Ovis aries: one gene and its partners. The protein of the gene in region 2 purifies or fractionates together with the protein of the main gene of each other region. This does not show direct contact. Links are inferred from orthologs where the notes say so. Each region holds a gene or a part of one and is shown on either strand. Other genes may lie near its edges. The genes, in order: KIF22, KPNA4 and MECP2.

What was found.
Region 1: the proteins of KPNA4 (region 2) and KIF22 purify together in Homo sapiens (affinity purification with mass spectrometry; 3 studies listed by BioGRID and IntAct, counting the BioPlex papers as one, with this or other methods). This does not show direct contact. The link is inferred for Ovis aries from reciprocal best matches to the Homo sapiens genes KPNA4 and KIF22.
Region 3: the proteins of KPNA4 (region 2) and MECP2 purify together in Homo sapiens (affinity purification with mass spectrometry; 3 studies listed by BioGRID and IntAct, counting the BioPlex papers as one, with this or other methods). This does not show direct contact. The link is inferred for Ovis aries from reciprocal best matches to the Homo sapiens genes KPNA4 and MECP2.

Annotation. Positions count from the first base shown.
Region 1 is NC_056077.1:26,959,164-26,963,105, reverse strand, and holds part of KIF22 (kinesin-like protein KIF22), read left to right. Parts: exon of another isoform or gene 1-315; intron 316-1,194; coding exon 1,195-1,390; intron 1,391-2,699; coding exon 2,700-2,827; intron 2,828-2,917; coding exon 2,918-3,072; intron 3,073-3,464; coding exon 3,465-3,674; intron 3,675-3,764; coding exon 3,765-3,942. UniProt on the Homo sapiens protein: Kinesin family member that is involved in spindle formation and the movements of chromosomes during mitosis and meiosis. Binds to microtubules and to DNA. Plays a role in congression of laterally attached chromosomes in NDC80-depleted cells.
Region 2 is NC_056054.1:227,593,887-227,598,552, forward strand, and holds the start of KPNA4 (importin subunit alpha-3), read left to right. Parts: upstream 1-1,535; 5' UTR 1,536-1,819; coding exon 1,820-1,888; intron 1,889-4,666. UniProt on the Homo sapiens protein: Functions in nuclear protein import as an adapter protein for nuclear receptor KPNB1. Binds specifically and directly to substrates containing either a simple or bipartite NLS motif.
Region 3 is NC_056080.1:80,263,854-80,267,795, forward strand, and holds part of MECP2 (methyl-CpG-binding protein 2), read left to right. Parts: intron 1-2,899; coding exon 2,900-3,250; intron 3,251-3,942. UniProt on the Homo sapiens protein: Chromosomal protein that binds to methylated DNA. It can bind specifically to a single methyl-CpG pair. It is not influenced by sequences flanking the methyl-CpGs.

The DNA of each region.
Region 1 (3,942 bases), on a different chromosome or scaffold from region 2:
ATTTCATGGCTGCAATCACCATCTGCAGTGATTTTGGAGCCCCCAAAAATAAAGTCTGATACTGTTTACACTGTTTCCCCATCTATTTCCCATGAAGTGATGGGACCAGATGCCATGATCTTCGTTTTCTGAATGTTGAGCTTTAAGCCAACTTTTTCACTCTCCTCTTTTACTTTCATCAAGAGGCTTTTAGTTCCTCTTCACTTTCTGCCATAAGGGTGGTGTCATCTGCATATCTGAGGTTATTGATATTTCTTCCGGAAATCTTGATTCCAGTTTGTGTTTCTTCCAGTCCAGTGTTTCTCATGATGTACTCTGCATATAAGTTAAATAATCCCTGTTTATTCCTCTGAATAGCAAAGAAGATACAATGTAGGTTATGGTTCAAGATACAGTAATAGCCACAGGGCTCCAGGCCTAAAACACCGAGGTGCTTGGAGAGTGGCTGCACTTCTGTGAGCGTCTTCACAGGTTAATAGGACTGACAGAAGCTACCTTTCAGGGACACCATGGAAGTTAAAGTGTGCCTAGCACTTAGTCGGACACGACTGAAGTGACTTAGTAGCAGCAGCACTTAGCCAGTGCTTCATAAATGTGAATGTTTGCTAAGTACACGATCTGGTTTATGGTTCCAGCCATAGATAATCTCTCTCCTTCAGCCCCCCACTGCACCCTGCCTGAGACCGTGTATTTGATTCTTCTTTCTCTTCCATCCTGCCCTTCTGTGTTTGACTCACCTACAGGACACACACAGTCCTGCCTTAGTGGTTCTACACGGGGGCCTGCTTTCACCCCTCCATATTTTTTGCACGTGCCTTTCCTTCTTCCTGAAATGCTTGGCAGTGACCCTACTTATTCTTCAGGGGTCAGCTCAGTTACCTCCACCTCCAAGACTGCTAGCCTTGTGTGTTCGTGTGTGCTCAGTTGCGCCACTCGTGTCCCACTCTTTGCAACCCTATGGACTGTAGCCCGTGAGGCTCCTCTGGCCATGGGATTTCCCAGGCAAGAACACTGGAGTGGGTTGCCATGCCCTTCTCCAGGGCATCTTCCCCACCCAGGGTTTGAAGCTGTGTCTCTTAGGTCTCCCCCACTGGCAGTGGGTTCTTTACCACTAGTGCCACCAGGAAGCCCACTCATACCCTTATCTCTCAGCAAAGCTGCCACCATGCTTCACGCCTAAAAATGATCTTCTAGGAGCCGGTCGCTGTCGGCTAAGCAAGGTGGGAGCTGCCCGGCGCCCACCTCCAGCTCGAGTGAGGGTAGCTGTGAGACTGCGCCCGTTTGTGGATGGGACAGCTGAAGAAAACGACACCCCCTGTGTGCGGGGCCTGGACAGCTGTTCTCTGGAGATTGCCAACTGGAGGAACCACCAAGAGACTCTCAAATACCAGTAAGGTTCAGGCCACACTCCCTCCCACTCTCTCTCTCCTAGGCCTGCTCGCACTATCACTTGCCCAGAAGTGATTTCTCAGACCTCCTCCTGAGGATCCTTCTTCCTTCCTTAGTGCAGCTTTGTTTGCCACACCTTTGCTTTGGGTAATGTTCATGGGTGCCCACTGCGATAGGGCCTGTCCAGGAGAGTGTGGGGAAGGCTGGAGGCTGAGTCAGATGCACGTTGCTATTCACAGTCTTAGAGGGGAAGCAGGCACAAAGTGGGGAAGGAGCAGCAAAGGCGAGCTGGGGAGTCCAGCTCGGACCTTTGGGGAGGGGTGGGAAGGACTGGGGAAACGTAGACCAGCCAGCCAGCCCAGGCTGTGGCTGGGTGGTGTCAGATAAGACCGCCCATGTTTGGGGGATAGAGCTTACAGCTGTTTTAAAATTCCTTGGGAGATTTAAAGTTCAGGCTCCTTGGCCTGTCATTCTAGGCCAGAGGGTGGCAAACTAAGATCTGCAGGTGAAATCTGTCAGCAGACTTTGTGTAAATAAGGCTTTATTGGAATATAGTCATGCTCATTTATTTACATACTATCTGCGGCTGCTTTCTGCCTGACTACAGTGACGGGTGAGCAGTTGTGAAAGGAACCATGTAGTCCACAGAGCCCCAAATGTTTACTATCTGGCTTCTTATGGAAAAAGTTTGCCAACCTTGTTCTAGGCCCTTGACAACTTGGCTTTAGTTTCTTTCCAGCCTCATTTCCCCCAGCACATGCTACACTCCACTATATCAGTGCTAATCCCTGCCTCAACCGAAGCTTCTCCGTCAGAGTACAGTGACTAAGCTTCAGGTGTGTCAAGTCTCATCTAGTCTTTACTCCATGTGGTGTACAGATGCCTCTTTCTATAAATTCTGTGTTATGAAAAAGGATTGGGAAGCCTGGCCCTTTTATACCATGTCTTGTGTGCTATTTTTGACACTTAGAGTATCTTTCTCTTCTCTCTCTGGCAAAAATCCTCCTTCCCCAGGCAGAATGTTACTCCTTCTAGTGCATTCTCATCTTTGTTTCCTGAGTCACAGCAAAGTGTGGGTATCTATCTATGCCACCAGACTGCAGAACTCCTAAGAGCAGGGATACCAAATTCATCTCTGTGTTTCTACACCAAAACAGAGACTGGGACAGAATGGGTGTTCAGTGGGCACTTTCTTAGACCTTTGTGTAAGAAGAAGAATAGGGACCCTTAAACGTGAGACCAGTTTTATCCTCTAGACCTGGGTGAGAATGGAACCTGCTACTGAGTCCCGCCTTTCTTCCTGCCCGCAGGTTTGATGCTTTCTATGGGGAGAGGAGCTCTCAGCAGGACATCTATGCAGGATCGGTGCAGCCCATCCTGAGGCACTTGCTAGAAGGGCAGAATGCCAGTGTGCTCGCCTATGGGCCCACAGGGGCAGGTGAGGAGGCCAGATACAGAGCAGCCCTGGGCCAGAAGGGACTCGGGAACGGGGAAGAAAATCTCACAGCTCTCTCCACTCTTTCCCCAGGGAAGACACACACAATGCTGGGCAGCCCAGAGCAGCCTGGGGTGATTCCTCGGGCTCTCATGGACCTCCTACAGCTCACGAGGGAGGAGGGTGCTGAGGGCCGGCCGTGGGCCCTCTCTGTTACTATGTCCTACTTAGAGATCTACCAGGAAAAGGTGAGCCCCCCAGCCCCATTTTTAAATATTCATTTCGCTGCTCAGGGTCTTAATTGAGGCACATGTGGGATCATTAGTTGCCATGTGGGATCTAGTTCCCTGACCAGGGATCGAACCCAGGCCCCCTGTACTGGGAGTGTGGAGTCTTAGCCACTGGACCACCAGGAAGTCCTCAAGGGCCCTTTCTGATTGGGGAGGGAAGAAACAAAGGGTAAAAATCAGACCCGGTTCTGGAACATGAAGTTTTGATCTAGCAAGGACACCTGGAAAGACAGAGGTTAGGGTAGCAGATGGCACAACTCTGAGAATCCAGCAAAGAAAACGAGAACCACAGGCAGGAAGTAGGCAGCCTGTAAGTGGAGAATTGGCCCTACCCCTCACTGCTCACATAGGTATTAGACCTCTTGGAACCTTCATCGGGAGACCTGGTGATCCGAGAAGACTGCCGAGGAAATATCCTGATTCCGGGCCTCACGCAGAAGCCCATCACTAGCTTTGCTGATTTTGAGCGGCATTTCCTGCCAGCCAGCCGAAATCGGACGGTGGGAGCCACCCGGCTCAACCAGCGCTCTTCCCGCAGTCATGCTGTGCTCCTGGTTAAGGTGAGACCTCTCCTCCACCCCCGACAGGGGTGAGGACCTGCGGAGCCCCCAGAATTTGAATTAAATGGGGGCCCTTGCTCTTGCCCCCAGGTGGATCAGCGAGAACGCTTGGCCCCATTTCGCCAGCGGGAAGGGAAACTCTACTTGATTGACTTGGCTGGCTCAGAGGACAACCGGCGCACAGGCAACAAGGGCCTAAGGCTGAAGGAGAGTGGAGCCATCAACACCTCCCTGTTTGTATTGGGCAAGGTGGTGGATGCTTTGAACC
Region 2 (4,666 bases):
TTGGTGGATACTGTGATCACACCCTTCTTTTAGGAGTACGGTATTCTGAACTGAATTTTCTTATTCTAAACTCAGTTTCAAGACATCAGTGCTACCGTGTGCAATGTTACCTCAATTAAATGGTTCTATGGGGAATAAAATTTATAATGAACACCATTTTAAACTTAAAATCGGCACTGAATTTACATTCAAGTTAATGTACAGTGTGAATTGTTTCCAAGCACAGCTTCTGTGTGCCTAGGTAGCTGAAAGCATACAAAGTATTCAGGACTTTAAAGGCATTATTCTCATTTTAAACGTTTCAAAATATATTTTTAAACCATTTCCGTCTCCCGTTTTCTGAAGTACTTTTAGTACATTCTTTCGTCGATTGTGCTATTTCTATCTCTGGTAATAACATTTCTGTTAGAGATGTGTATCTTTGGAACTCTTTTCCCTTCTAAGCAGAGTCACAATATTACATTTCCTATGTCTGGTGCCACGGTTCCCGCCTTTCAGAAGTTAGTACTGTGTGGCCGAGAAATTCCTTTTAACTTTGCAAGACGAAGTATCTTGGAGGATGGAGGACTTCCCTAGTGGCTCAGCGGTAAAGAATCCGCCTGCCAAGCAGGCGCCACCTGTTCGATCCCTGGATTGGGAAGAGCACCTGGAGACGGAAAAGGCAACCCACTACAGTATTCTTGCCTGGGAAATCCTATGGACAGAGGAGCCTGGCGGACTACAGTCCATGGGGTCGCCAGGAGTCCTATACCTTTACCACTGAGCCACCAGGGAAGCCCCTAAGAGTCCGTTAAGTCTTAGCAACTAACCAACAACACAAGTATAACCACAGGATAAATCAGCGCTTCCCAAGTTCCCACCTGTTGCGGGACTTGGTCAGAGGGGATGAATCAGATTCCTCTAAAGCGTCCTTTTCCTTTTCCAGCCACTGACCCTCCCGCTTTCCGCTGCGACTCCGGAACGCTAGTCACTCTTTCCAGTCCAGGCCCCAAGGCCAGGCCCCCAGACAGCAGAGACCCCTGCTAGGGTAGGGAGCTCGGTTGAGAATAGGGGGCTGTCCCGATCCGGGATGGAACCGAGGCGCAGATCTCCTGTAAAGCACCAGGAGCGCGTAAAGAATGCCCTAGGAGAGAAGACGCACCGAAGAAGAAAAGAACGTACTTTGATTGAGCTTTGGCCGGGGGACTCCAGACCTCTGGGGCGGGTCCTACAACAAGAACAAACCAACTCGTTCCCGGGCGTCTCCTTCCCCCTTCCCCTTCCCGCCTTCCTTTAAGCCTCCTACTTCTCTTTCGCTTCCTCCCCCCTGCTCCGGGGGCACGTGGTCCCTCCCTGCTCTTCCTCGCCACACCCCCTCCCCTCCGGGCCCATCCCGCGGCCCCTTCCTCCCAGAGTCTCCCGCTTCCCCTTTCCATTCGCTCTTCCGCCCCCGCTCTCCATCGTTCTTTCTGATTGGTCGCGCGCACCGGAGTCTGGTTGGCCAATCGGCGAGCGGGACTGGCGGCGATGGGCGTGGCCGCGGCGCCGGGGCCCTCAGATCGAGGCTGCCTCCCCCTCGCAGCCGGCAGCACATTCCGCCGCCGTTGCCGCCGCCCGGCTCCGCAGTTGTCTTCGCCGGAGCTGCGGTCGCGCTGGGGTTAGGGCGGGGGGGGACGGGCGGGGAGAGGCGAAGACCGCGGCGAAGGCAGGTGAGAGGAGGAAGGAAGCGGCGGGCACAGCAGCTCAGGCAGCGGCCCGGTTCCTGGGAGTGTCGGTGCGGCGTGGTGGTTGGGGCGGATCCCGCGGGGCCCGGGCGGGGGAAGGAGTCACCGGCCCGGCCATGGCGGACAACGAGAAACTGGACAACCAACGGCTCAAGAATTTCAAGAACAAAGGCCGCGACTTGGAGGTAAACTCGGGGACGCCGGAGGGGTGAGGGCCATGGGCCTCGGGTCGATCTCCGCCGGGACTCGGAGTGTGGGGAGTAGGGGCGGGAGCCGCGGCCGCCGCCGGGCCGCAGGGGAATGGCGCTGGGGGCCGGCCCGTCCGTGACGCGTGTGCTAACGCGCCGGGAAGTTTGTGTCGGGCCTGGTCCGCCTCCGCGGGGAGCGAGGTGCCGGGGTACGGCCGGCGCGGCCTAGGCCTGCCCGGCGGAGCTGGCCCGGCGCGGTTGCGAGGGGCTGGGCCTCGCGGCAGGGAGGCCGGGCGCGGCGAGTGTGGAGGAGGCGTGCGTGTGCCGCGCCGCCCCGGCCCGCCTGCGCCCCCAGCCCCGGAGCGGCGGCGGAGATTCCGGCTCTGGCTCCCGCAACGACGTCTGGGGCCGAGGGTGGGGAGGTAGGAGGGACTAGCGTGTGGCGACCGAGTGGGGCTCGGAACTTCCTCAGCGAGGCCCGAGTCGTCTCCACTTAAAGGCACTTTCTCTGGTCTTTCCGACTCCCGCTTTACCCCTGCCTCCCCCCAATATCCAAACTACAGGAGTCAACTTCTCCGTTGAAAAAAAACACCCCCGGCGTGAGAGGCCTTCCTGGTGATGCTAACAGTGCCTTCCAGCGGCCTGTGTTTTACTGTGGATATAGCTGATGTGGATGAGCAAGATGTGGCTCACGGTGTGCGCTCTTCCTGGCAAAGGATAACCCTTATGTCAGCTTGTTCACAAATCTTTTTACCCTTTCCTGAGAGACCACCAGCTGCATTCTTACCTATAAAGTCCAAAGGGTTATTCAAAGCTGTCTTCCTCTAGTCTACAGTATCCTTTCCCTCCACCTGCCGGTGGTGGTGGTAATGGGGGATGGGGTGGGCTGCGGAATGGCACCATCACATTTTATTATTCTAAAAGGGTGAAAAAAACCCCTTCATTATTTTAGAAAATAGCTGCTTTTGAGGTTAAGGGCCATAAGGTGTGAGTTAAACACCTATTACAGATTTTTGATATTAGACTTTTTTCCTTCAGTATTAGGAGTCTAGGTGAATAGGGGTTCTTTTGTTTGCTTTTTTTTTTTTTTAATTTTAAATATTTCCATTCTGCATCTGAATCAAGAGTTTAGCTTTTAAAAGAAGGTGGTCTAGTGGTATTTTTTTTTTTTTTGTACTTTTTTATACTGAGATCTTCAAATTCCCATCATCTGTTTCTGAACTTTGAGCTTTTGCCTGATTGAGATAGTGACTGCTTGGGGGGCTTTCCACAAAGCCATTTACTCTCCAAGGCAGTTAATGCTGTCTCAGTGGGTTTCCTAGTTTGAGGGACTTAAATACTATCTGGTTAATTCTGTGATTCTTTTAAGATTAACATCAGGCATAATTTTTATAACACCTTTTTATTTTAAATGAAAGAATTTTAACTTTATTGAGATGATTCACATGGTATTGAAATTGCCATTTAAATGAAGAATTTATGATTTTCATTGTTTAGTAGTGTAATGATGTGATAAAAAAATTTTTGACTTATGAATATTTAAAATAAGGGGGGGAAATCACAAATTACAAAACCTAAAAGCTTAAATATGGCAAAATTAGAAAAATCTAGAGAAATATCAAATGCTTGACAATCCTTCTAATCTCTTTCCCTTCTACTTTTCTGGCTGTTTTTTATTTTTTAAACAACTTCATTGAGATGGAATTCACATACTATACAGTTCACCCATTTGAAATGGTTTTTGGTATTTTCACATAGTTGTACAGCCATCAGCACAGTCTTAGAACATTTTCATCACTCTCCAAAAGAAACCCAGACTCACTAGCGGTCATTCTGTCTTTTTAGATTTACCTATTCTAAATATTTCATATAAATGGAATTATACAGTATGTGATCTTTTGTGACTGGCTTCTTTAGGTAGCTGATGTTTTCAAGGTTTATACATATTGTAAAAATAATGTATTAGTGCTTTATTCCTTTTTATAGCTGACTATTCCAGTGTGTGCATATACTAGTTTTTGTTCATTCATTCATCATTTGCATTGTTTCCACTTTTTAATGATTAATGCTGCTCTGAATATTCATCTACACATTTTTGTGTAGACCTGCGTTTTCATTTCTCTTTAGTTTTACACGTATGGTAACTTTATGTGTCTCTTTCTGTGGAATTGCCAAGCTATTTTTAGGTGATCCTTATTTTTTAAATTGATGTTCTCCCCTCACTGTGTATTTCTTATTTTAGCCAAAATAAGATTAAAGGCTGATTCTATATTAGAGCCATATTTGCTATGTGATTTTTTAAAAATAGCTGTAAATACACATTAAGTAAAATGTTTTGAGAAGTTCATTTTGCCTTGTGGGTATCCTTTAGTGGCTTTGATAACTCTGCATGCATTAGGAATATGAGTATTTTCATGTTTCACCTAAAGGAATGGAATATGATTTTAAGAGAAAGTCATCCTTTCTCCTCACTTGTAATTTATTCTGTCACATATGCCTGCAATGAAATAAAAACATCTTTTATTATCCTGGGAGAATATTGGAAGGCCTGTGTGTGTATGTGCTTAGTCGCACAGTTGTGTCCAACTCTGTGTGACCCTATGGACTGTAGCCCGCCAGCCTCCTCTGTCCATGGGATTCTCCAGGCAAGAATACTAGAGTGGGTTGCCATGCCCTCCTCCAAGGTATCTTCCCAACCCAGGGATGGAACTCAGGTCTCCTTCATTGCCGGCGGATTATTTACTGTCTGAGCCACCAGGGAAGCTCTAGAAGCCC
Region 3 (3,942 bases), on a different chromosome or scaffold from region 2:
CTCATTTATCGATTATTTAGGTGAAAGGGCAGGTTTTACGTTATGTCTATGTGATTGTAATAAAAATCTCTCAAAGCCCATGCAATTCATTTAGGCCAAGTTGCAGTCTGGGCACAGGGGTCTCCCTACTTGGTAGCCAAAGAATTCTCTCCTCCCCTCCTTGAGCTTCTTTTTAGTTGTTCCTTTGTGTTGAGGTGGAGACTGCTTATAATGCGGTGTTTGCTGCTCCTGCAGTGCCTCCTCGCAGGGCTGGCTGTCGCTCCACCCTGCTGCTGGCCCAGGTTTCCCTATCCTCAGTTGGTGACACTTTTCCCCACACCGGCCAGCTGTGTTGCTTCACCTCCTGGTCACGTCCCGAGTCCCCACTACCTACACCTGGGACTGTGCCTCGAGAGCCCCTGGAGCAGTCTGCCCTGCCCTGGGCATCGCCCCATGAGGAATTGCCATCCCCTGCCCCAGATCATCAAGGTGATGCTGCTGCAGGGCTGCTGTGGCATGGAGTCCAGCAGGCCTCAGAGTCCCCCAGGCCACCTGCTGCTCTCTGGGGTCTCCTGCAGGCCACTCTCCACACAGCAGCTGAAGGAATCCCATCACACCCAGAATCAAACCCGACACAGCTCCATGACCCCTCCTTGAGGCCTCCCTGCTGCCTAAAACCTTCCTCATAAGACCCTTGAGACCCTCCCTCACTTTCTGTCTTTCCCTCCTTTTCCCCCCAACATCGCCAAGCGGGTTATTTTCTTCTCTGAAATCTAAACAGTTCATGCTTTTGGATCTTCACTTTCCCCAGCACAGGCTGCCCTAGGACCTGAGCCAGCCTGTTTCCCCTCCATGGATGCTAGGCGTGTTCTAGTCTCTTCCCTTCTGTCTTGATTTTCTTTTTGGTTATGTCAACTTTTACATGATTCGGAAAATGAAATTCTGGTCCACACACCTGGCAAGTTCTGGCCCTGTGCCATTCCTCACCTCAGTCCCGCCTACCCCATGTTGGACTAGTTCTGTGCATTTCTGCCCTCTGCTTCCTAAAGTCTCTGTTTCTCCCCTGGAGAATGGCCTACCGTGGACCCCTTCCTGGGGGTCCCACCCTGAGTTTCCCACCCTGGGGTTCAGGTTACCTGGCTCTCCGTGGTGTGCACATGTCAGTGTTGGCCCAATAGGTCTCGGGCGGTGGCTGTCTGGCTTGGCTGCAGTCTTGGGCCAGTAAAAAGAATGCTATCACCAATAGCATTGTGCTCAAATGCAGAATGTTGTTTTCTGTTTCTGTGGGTATGTGTTCTTGGTAGATTTCTAGAAGGGCTGGCCCTAGACGGCATTGACACCCTTGTTGGTACCTAAGGGGCATTCCTGGGGCACATGCTTCATGCCAAAGCTCACCGTAGTTACAGTATCCACAGATGCACATGAGGGCTCTGAAGAAGCCAGACTTGGCCATCAGGGCCCTGTTTTCCTGTGGCCTGGGACTGTCTGGGTTCCTGACACAGAGCTAAGCCTGGGCTTACCCTCGAGCTCTGCCGGAGACAGCCAGGATAGGTAGGAGGGCGAGGTGTGCCCTTTCCATGCCCCGTCTCCCTGGGCCCGACCTGTGAGTTCTGGTGCAAACTCACTTTTGGGGACTGAGCCATGTCATTCGAGTCTTGCGGCCAAGGCAGGCCTTGGTGCCTTGGTGGTGGTCTCCAGGGTATGGCCAGCAAGGGAAGTCACTTGGGGTGGGTTGTTGTGAGCCTCACGGGCCCCAGGAGGCTCTGGGGCTGAGATCTGGAACACAGATGAGTCTGGCTCTTTTCCAGGGTGAGTTTCTAAGAGAGGGCTTTGCAGGTGACTGGCTCTGAGCCCACAGTTCTGGTTTCCAGGCCTCCCTGGCCCAGGTGATGCTCTCACCCTGTTGGCCCAGCCACGAGAGCAGCATGGCCAGACTCTAATCCCAGAGTCTGGAGCCTCACAGTAACCACTGTCCAAGGAGATAGGAGGGGGTCCTACCGGGTGGGACCCATGCATACCGGAGGAACTGGTCTGTCAGCATGGAGGAATGGGGAGGCACCCGCCCTGGAATCAGGCACGTCCCAGTGCCAAAGCCCCGCGTGGTCAGGAGAGTCTGGTGAGAAAGACTCACCCAGCAGGGAATTGCTCCTCTTCTCACGTGAGAACCCTGGGCAGTAGTGTCTGGTTGCCCCATCCCACTGTTTAGACAATGCCTTTGTGACTCTTCTCTGTCTAGGGTGTTGGTACCCATTGTCAAGATAGGAGGAGACTGAGGCACAGGATGTTGAAGTCACTTGTGCAGATCCATGTTTGGAAATGGCAAAAAAAAAAAAAAAAATCACGATTTGGGCTCGGTGTGGCTTACTCCAAATCTGCAGGTTTTTCCTCAACACTGCACTCGGCACCACCTCCCCAGGGGCAGTGTTGGGCTCTTCCCATCACCAAGGTGTATTGTACGGTTTTCATTGAACACCCATTTGAGAAAACCCCAAACACAAAAGCTTAAAGTAACACTTATGCTTAAAAACACAAAAACTTAAAGTAACACTCCCTGGGGAAGAGGAGCCCCCTCAATTTTGGTGAGTAGGTCCCTCTCCAGCGGGTGAGAGAGCCTCTCATCATCCGTCCAACCCAGAGGCCCTAGCTCGTAACACCGAGAAGCCATCTTGGCAAGCCTGCTAGAGATGGGCCTCAGGGTGACCACAGTGTCGGTAGGGTGCTGTGGGCCATCACTGTCAGCAGCCCCAGGCTCTCAAGTCATCTGTGAAGGGGAAGGGCATTTCAATCTGGGGGACGCTAGTAGGACAGCCCCTCTCCTGGGGCCCTGCCCATGTCAGGGCACCCCAGACCTGCTGGCGCCCACTTTTTTCTGCACACCAGTTTGTTCCCTGTGATACTGACATCCTTGTTTAACACTCAGGGAAGAAAAGTCCGAAGAGCAGGATCTCCAGGGCCTGAAGGACAAACCTTTGAAGTTCAAAAAGGTGAAGAAGGATAAGAAAGAAGACAAAGAGGGCAAGCATGAGCCCCTGCAGCCAGCAGCCCACCACTCTGCCGAGCCAGCAGAGGCCGGCAAAGCAGAGACCTCAGAAGGGTCAGGCTCGGCCCCAGCCGTGCCAGAAGCTTCTGCGTCCCCCAAGCAGCGGCGCTCCATCATTCGTGATCGGGGCCCCATGTACGATGACCCCACTCTGCCGGAAGGTTGGACCCGAAAGCTTAAGCAAAGGAAATCTGGCCGCTCCGCTGGGAAGTATGATGTGTACTTGATCAAGTAAGTGAGGGTGATTCCTGTCTCTCCAGAGCAGGGAAGGCTAGTGGTGGTGGTTGGGAAAGAGTCAGGGATCACCACTAAGAAACTTTTGGGGACCCCTTGGAGTGTTAGCTCCTTGCGGCTCATGGATCAAGAAAGTGTGTGTGCGTAACCCACTTCCGGTCGGGTCTTCAGTAGTGACCACTGCTGGTGGGTCTGATCAGGTATGCTTGGAATGACCACCTGGGGAGGTCACTGCCCTGAGGGAGATGTCCATCAGGGCCTTGTCTGGAGGAAGAATAGCACTGGGGACACAGAGTTCTGCCATTCATACTCTGCTGATGATTTCCCAGCAGAGGGGCTGTCCTCAGGACCTGGGAACCTCTTCTTTGTGGGAGAGTCCTTCTGTGCCAATACTTCATGAGCCCTGAGAAATACAAATTCACAGGGTTCAGTCTGTTGCGTGAGGCGTGCTGGTAAAGGGGGGCTGTCTGATACAGCCTAGAGAGAGCCCCAGATGGGCTCGGAGTACCTTTCCCACTGTCCCTCTGGCCTTTGTCCAGCTGTGGGCTGGTGGTTGGGTGTTACCTGTTGAAACAGAGTCACTTCCTAGCCAGATATTTAGAGGACAAGTGTGACTACGTTCATTTCACTTGTCCCCCTTAAATGACTCCAGACAGGTTAGCCATTTTGGAATTCACTCGTACAGTCTC